Xenopus tropicalis: one gene and its partner. The protein of the gene in region 1 purifies or fractionates together with the protein of each later gene. This does not show direct contact. Links are inferred from orthologs where the notes say so. Each region holds a gene or a part of one and is shown in the gene's direction. Other genes may lie near its edges. The genes, in order: serbp1 and rbm42.

Region 1 (3,817 bases):
TTTGATCATTAACCTTCTGTGAGGTACTGTATCAAACGCTTTAGCAAAGTCCAAGTAGATGACATCAACTGCCATTCCATCATTGAGGTTCCTGCTCACCTCCTCATAAAAGGCGACTAAATTAGTCTGGCAAGATCTGTTACGCATAAAACCATGCTGGCACAAACTAATAGTATTGTGAACTGCAATGTATTCAAGTACCCTATCCCATATTACCCCTTCCAAAAGTTTTCCTACTACTGATGTCAGACTAACAGACCTATAGTTTTCAGTCTGAGAACGGGATCCCTTTTTAAATAACGGTACCACATTAGCAATTCGCCAGTCTCTCGCCACCATGCCAGACCTCAACGAATCCTGAAATCCTGACAATCCTTTTAAACATGGTTTTGCATAATAAAAAGGTGTGTGGGATTTTTTGTGCACATTTATCTTTCATAAGACTTATGGTATTTCTGTAAATTTTTGTGCTGTTAATTTGTGGCAGCCTTACTGTTCATTTTCAGAGTAACCAGTTAAATATCAGTAACCTGCATAGAAACAGTGACCTCTGCTGGGAGTTGAGAGCACAACACTTTACTACTGATGGTATAGGAAATCTGTTGTTAACTGCATTAGCAAGTGTCTTAACTCACTGAAGCGGTTTTGACAGAGTTGGTCATAGGCCAGCAGTGTACATTATTAGCTGGGCATACCCTTAGTGACCTTTAATTTTAGGCATGCTGCTTAGTGTTCCTCAGAAAATGTATTGGTTAACACTAATTAGCCTGTAGCCATAAAGGAACTGTGTATGAACACGCATCTTTCTGGTCAAGACTTAAAAAATCCTTTTAATTGTATGAAATACATTCACCTGTGTATCTTAAACATCTAAGGCAGTGCCCCACTACCCAATTTTTACCAAATGTATCCATGTCTGTCAAATGGGGCATTTACTCTTCATAATTTCACTACTGTATAATTCAGAAGATTATACATCTTTACAAATCTTTGTGCATTAATATCTGTGTTGCAGCTATCAGGCGGGTTGGTCGGAGACCTGATCAGCAGCAGCAGCCGCCGCAGCAGCCACCAACACAACAGCAGCAGCAACAACAACAACAACAACAGCAGCAGCAGCAACCACCTCAGTCATCACAGGGTGAAGGAAAGCCAGTTGACAGGAGGCAGTCCGATAGGCGGCCACCCCGTGAACGCCGTTTTGAAAAACCAACTGAAGAAAAGGGAGAAGCAGGGGAATTTTCTGTTGACCGGTAAGTTTCATGTTAAATTGGCTAATGTACATGTTTATTTTAGGTTGCTTTTAGATTGTAAAATGTATAGACCATTTATTGAAGGGAACTGTTTACACTGAACACACCTGAGGAAGAATTGGGTCTCTGTTATCATATCAAGGGCTATATTTAAAGCTTTTGCTGCCCTAGATACACGAGTAAAAGCGGCCATACATGGGGCGATTTCAGTTGCTGATATTGGTCCTTTAGATCAATTTGCAGCTTATCTACCCGTGTATAGGCACCACCAGTGGGCCTTCCCAACTGACGCCTGGCCTGAAATTGGGCAGATTTGATTTTTCATTTGGGTAGGGAATGCGGTCCCCAAACCGATGGTGTAGGTGGTGGGCATATCATGAGAAGATCTGCTTGCTTGGTGACCTCGCTAAACGAGCAGATCTTAGTGTATGGCCACCTTAATGCTGCCCTAGCCAGCACCAAAGAAAAGCTACTTCCTGTTACTGACCCACAGTAATAAAGGTTCCCCTAAAACCCACTGCTGAAATTTACCCAGTAATCTTGTGCTGTGCATCTATTATTGGGTGGGAGAAAAATCTGTTCAATGTGTTGATACAGAAGACAGGGCAACAGTGAATGCAGAGCACTTCTAAGGGACAGTGACAGATGTGTCAAGTTTCAGATTTTTTACCTGCCCATGAACAAGTCAGCTGAAGAAACCTCTTGTTGGTGTTATTGAGTCTGTATCTTAATACTATGTTTTGGGACACGATAGACTAGAACTTTGTTAAAGAGGTTGTCCACTTTTAAATTAACATTATGTATGCATATTATGTATGCATATATGATGTAGAGAGTGAGATTCTGTGAGTTTGCAATTTTTTTTTTTTTTTCAGCAGCACTCCATTTTGGAATTTCAGCAGTTATCTGGTTGCTAGGGTTTTGTTTACCTTATTTAAACCACTGCATGGTTGCTGAGAGACTGGAATATGGAGCGGGACTGAATAGAAATATAAGTAATTAAAGGTAGAAATAATAATATTGCAAGATCGCACAGCAATTATTTTTGGATGCTGGAGTCAGTGACCCCCATTTAAAAGATGTAGAGGCAGAAGGCAAATAATTAAACTATAAAAAAAAAAAGATACTGAAGATCAATTGCAAAGTCGCTAGGAATAGGACATTCTATAACATACTTAAAGTTAACGTAAAGGTGAACCACCCCTAATGGTTTAAGGAGGCATGGGTTTTCCCTTTTTTTTTTTTTGAATAGTGAAATAAAATGTAATTTGTAAGCAACTTTCCAAAATACATCAATTACAAATTTTCAGTTTTGATTTGTAAATTTAAGTGCTTTTAAAAGCACTATCTGGCTGTTTTAATTTTCTATAGAAATTATATGCTGTATCTGTTTTTTATTTAGCTGGAAACAGCAGGACCCAGTTACTCTTTGAACTTTACAGAGTGCTGAGCTGTTTGTGCATACTAATGATTACATTAAAGGGAATAGTAACCACCTCAAACCACCTTATCTTTATTGTAATTGTGTGAAGGGGTTCCTTCCTTCCACAATTAAAAAAATAAATAAAAATCAATTGCAGATTCTTACACCACCACAACTTGACTATACTAAATGTGTACTAAAGTTGCAATTCACCTAAAAATGTAACACTTCAGTTTTATAACGCAAACAGCATCTCTAATTGTTTAACAATAAAAACATAGCAATGAATCTATTCATTTTTTAGACCCATCGTGGATAGGCCCATCCGTGGTCGCGGTGGCCCTGGTGGAAGGGGTGGCCGTGGCGGTCGTGGACGTGGTTTGGGCAGGGGCGATGGCTTTGACTCTCGTGGAAAACGTGAATTTGACAGGCATAGTGGCAGTGACAGAGCGTAAGTCTTGGCCTAGTGCTTTTGTTGTTGACTTTCTTGTATTTCTTTGTGCTTCCCTAATCTCCATGCTCAAACACTGACAATATAACTCATTTTGGCTAGTTCTTCACATTTCAGTGGCCCAAAGCATGAGGATAAACGGGGAGGAAGTGGATCACACAACTGGGGCACTGTTAAGGATGAATTAAGGTAGGGTGCTAAAATGTTGTGATTGAGTAAAATAAGATTGTGGATTAAAAGTGGGTTTCCTGATGTTGATTAAAATAAAACGTTAACAAAGCCTCTCTAAACCATTTTAGTAAACTGGTCATGTCGGCATAAACTTGGAGGTATTTTTAAACAATCTGGTTTCTTTCTTAAAGGGGACTTGTCACACTAAAGTAACTTTAAATACTTTTGTATCAGGTTAGTCAATCAAAATAAACTTAAGTTACTATATATATATATATATATATATATATATATATATATATATATATATATATATATATATATATATATATATATATATATATCCTATCTATATATCTATATCATCAAGAACTTGCTATTAAGGCAAGCTTTGCAGCATTTCAAAATCTGTATATGCACCAGGATTGGGTACCTGATGCCCATACCCAGGATACACCTGGGCATGTGAGGATAGACTGTAAGGATGGAGGGGGTATGAGGTGTGCAGTGACATTTTGG
Region 2 (3,817 bases), on another chromosome or scaffold:
TTGGCCCCAGTATGCCGGAAATGGAACCGGTGCAGCCCGAGGTGGGACCCTGGCGCTGGGATTGGGAGCAGGGAGCGCTGTATTGTGTTCTGGTGTCTAAAACCCTTACTGGTTCTGTTCTGTAGGTGGTACTGGAACCGGTACAGGAGGATAAAAAGAAAACAAAGCCGGAGAAATTAAAACGGTGCATTCGCACTGCGGCCGGAACATCCTGGGAAGATCAGAGCTTATTGGAATGGGAGTCAGGTGAGGCTCATTTTCATGGTCCCTTCAGTTGCCATATTAGCAGCTCTGTGCCCGACTTGGTCATCTGTGTGCCGGCCCAAATCTGGCTGCTCCAATCATTTGGCTCCCAGGCCACTAATGGGATCATCCCGGGGGCATATGGAATCCAATCAAAATAGGGCTGCCTTAAGGTAAGGCAAGGTTGCCAAGCGAGCGGATCTTCTCCCGATTTGCCAACCTACGGGTGGGCGATATTGGGCTAATTCGGTCGTTTGGCCCTAGGGCAAAATGATCGATTGAAAACAGCGGGTATAGGGGGTATAATGCAGCCCCTGCTCCAAGGGAAAATTAAACCTGCCCGATTGAGATCTGCCCGATTTCATGGTGAGGTTTGTGAGTCGTGCCCATACACGGGCAGATAAGGAGCCGGATTATTCTAAAGCAGGGGTAGGGAACCTATGGCTCGGGAGCCAGATGTGGCTCTTTTGATGGCTGCATCTGGCTCTCTGCCAAATCTTTAATAAAAAAAAATAATGGGGGGCGTGGCCTGCGCTTGGCGGATAGATGACGTGTTCTATGCCTTAGAACACGTCTTCTATCCGCTGAGCGCAGGCTACGCCCTTCTCCGCATCCGGCATCCTACCTTGCCCCTGCGCCCAGCGGATAGAACACGTGTTCTAAGCCTTAAAACGCATCTTCTATCTGCCGAGCGCAGGCCACGCCCACCTCCGCATCACATCCGGCATCCTTGGCACCCACCCTACCTTGCCCCGCAGCCAAACATATTGTATGCAGAGTGCCAGCTCTGCAGCTCCAACCCGGCCCAAGGGAAGTCTCCCATAGGGCTCAATGGCACTCTGCAGCTCCAACCCGGCCTAAGGGAAGTCTCCCATAGGGCTCAATGGCACTCTGCCGCTCCAACCCGGCCCAAGGAAAGTCTCCCATAGGGCTCAATGGCACTCTGCAGCTCCAACCCGGCCCAAGGAAAGTCTCCCATAGGGCTCAATGGCACTCTGCAGCTCCAACCCGGCCCAAGGAAAGTCTCCCATAGGGCTCAATGGCACTCTGCAGCTCCAACCCGGCCCAAGGAAAGTCTCCCATAGGGCTCAATGGCACTCTGCAGCTCCAACCCGGCCCAAGGAAAGTCTCCCATAGGGTTCAATGGCACTCTGCAGCTCCAACCCGGCCCAAGGAAAGTCTCCCATAGGGCTCAATGGCACTCTGCAGCTCACACCCGGCCCAAGGGAAGTCTCCCATAGGGCTCAATGGCACTCTGCAGCTCCAACCCGGCCCAAGGAAAGTCTCCCATAGGGCTCAATGGCACTCTGCAGCTCACACCCGGCCCAAGGGAAGTCTCCCATAGGGCTCAATGGCACTCTGCCGCTCCAACCCGGCCCAAGGAAAGCTTCCCATAGGGCTCAATGGCACTCTGCATCTCCAACCTGGCCCAAGGAAAGTCTCCCATAGGGCTCAATGGCACTCTGCAGCTCCAACCCGGCCCAAGGAAAGCCTCCCATAGGGCTCAATGGCACTCTGCAGCTCCAACCCGGCCCAAGGAAAGTCTCCCATAGGGCTCAATGGCACTCTGCAGCTCCAACCCGGCCCAAGGAAAGTCTCCCATAGGGCTCAATGGCACTCTGCCGCTCCAACCCGGCCCAAGGAAAGCTTCCCATAGGGCTCAATGGCACTCTGCAGCTCCAACCCGGCCCAAGGAAAGTCTCCCATAGGGCTCAATGGCACTCTGCAGCTCCAACCCGGCCCAAGGGAAGTCTCCCATAGGGCTCAATGGCACTCTGCAGCTCCAACCCGGCCCAAGGAAAGTCTCCCATAGGGCTCAATGGCACTCTGCAGCTCCAACCCGGCCCAAGGGAAGTCTCCCATAGGGCTCAATGGCACTCTGCAGCTCCAACCCGGCCCAAGGGAAGTCTCCCATAGGGCTCAATGGCACTCTGCAGCTCCAACCTGGCCCAAGGAAAGTCTCCCATAGGGCTCAATGGCACTCTGCAGCTCCAACCCGGCCCAAGGGAAGCCTCCCATAGGGCTCAATGGCACTCTGCAGCTCCAACCCGGCCCAAGGAAAGCCTCCCATAGGGCTCAATGGCACTCTGCAGCTCCAACCTGGCCCAAGGAAAGTCTCCCATAGGGCTCAATGGCACTCTGCAGCTCCAACCCGGCCCAAGGAAAGCCTCCCATAGGGCTCAATGGCACTCTGCAGCTCCAACCCGGCCCAAGGAAAGTCTCCCATAGGGCTCAATGGCACTCTGCAGCTCCAACCCGGCCCAAGGAAAGTCTCCCATAGGGCTCAATGGCACTCTGCAGCTCCAACCCGGCCCAAGGAAAGTCTCCCATAGGGCTCAATGGCACTCTGCAGCTCACACCCGGCCCAAGGGAAGTCTCCCATAGGGCTCAATGGCACTCTGCAGCTCCAACCCGGCCCAAGGGAAGTCTCCCATAGGGCTCAATGGCACTCTGCAGCTCCAACCCGGCCCAAGGAAAGTCTCCCATAGGGCTCAATGGCACTCTGCAGCTCCAACCCGGCCCAAGGAAAGTCTCCCATAGGGCTCAATGGCACTCTGCAGCTCACACCCGGCCCAAGGGAAGTCTCCCATAGGGCTCAATGGCACTCTGCAGCTCCAACCCGGCCCAAGGAAAGTCTCCCATAGGGCTCAATGGCACTCTGCAGCTCACACCCGGCCCAAGGGAAGCCTCCCATAGGGCTCAATGGCACTCTGCAGCTCACACCCGGCCCAAGGAAAGTCTCCCATAGGGCTCAATGGCACTCTGCAGCTCCAACCCGGCCCAAGGAAAGTCTCCCATAGGGCTCAATGGCACTCTGCAGCTCCAACCCGGCCCAAGGAAAGTCTCCCATAGGGCTCAATGGCACTCTGCAGCTCCAACCCGGCCCAAGGAAAGTCTCCCATAGGGCTCAATGGCACTCTGCCGCTCCAACCCGGCCCAAGGAAAGCTTCCCATAGGGCTCAATGGCACTCTGCAGCTCCAACCCGGCCCAAGGAAAGTCTCCCATAGGGCTCAATGGCACTCTGCCGCTCCAACCCGGCCCAAGGAAAGCTTCCCATAGGGCTCAATGGCACTCTGCAGCTCCAACCCGGCCCAAGGAAAGTCTCCCATAGGGCTCAATGGCACTCTGCAGCTCCAACCCGGCCCAAGGGAAGTCTCCCATAGGGCTCAATGGCACTCTGCAGCTCCAACCCGGCCCAAGGAAAGTCTCCCATAGGGCTCAATGGCACTCTGCAGCTCCAACCCGGCCCAAGGAAAGTCTCCCATAGGGCTCAATGGCACTCTGCAGCTCCAACCCGGCCAAGGAAAGCCTCCCATAGGGCTCAATGGCACTCTGCAGCTCCAACCCGGCCCAAGGAAAGTCTCCCATAGGGCTCAATGGCACTCTGCAGCTCCAACCCGGCCCAAGGAAAGTCTCCCATAGGGCTCAATGGCACTCTGCAGCTCCAACCCGGCCCAAGGAAAGTCTCCCATAGGGCTCAATGGCACTCTGCAGCTCCAACCCGGCCCAAGGAAAGTCTCCCATAGGGCTAAATGGCACTCTGCAGCTCCAACCTGGCCCAAGGAAAGCCTC

What was found.
Region 2: the proteins of serbp1 (region 1) and rbm42 purify together in Homo sapiens (affinity purification with mass spectrometry; 3 studies listed by BioGRID and IntAct, with this or other methods). This does not show direct contact. The link is inferred for Xenopus tropicalis from reciprocal best matches to the Homo sapiens genes SERBP1 and RBM42.

Annotation. Positions count from the first base shown.
Region 1 is NC_030680.2:83,574,701-83,578,517, forward strand, and holds part of serbp1 (plasminogen activator inhibitor 1 RNA-binding protein), read left to right. Parts: intron 1-1,015; coding exon 1,016-1,253; intron 1,254-2,980; coding exon 2,981-3,127; intron 3,128-3,229; coding exon 3,230-3,316; intron 3,317-3,817. UniProt on the Homo sapiens protein: Ribosome-binding protein that promotes ribosome hibernation, a process during which ribosomes are stabilized in an inactive state and preserved from proteasomal degradation.
Region 2 is NC_030683.2:128,985,628-128,989,444, forward strand, and holds part of rbm42 (RNA-binding protein 42), read left to right. Parts: coding exon 1-41; intron 42-125; coding exon 126-246; intron 247-3,817. UniProt on the Homo sapiens protein: Binds (via the RRM domain) to the 3'-untranslated region (UTR) of CDKN1A mRNA.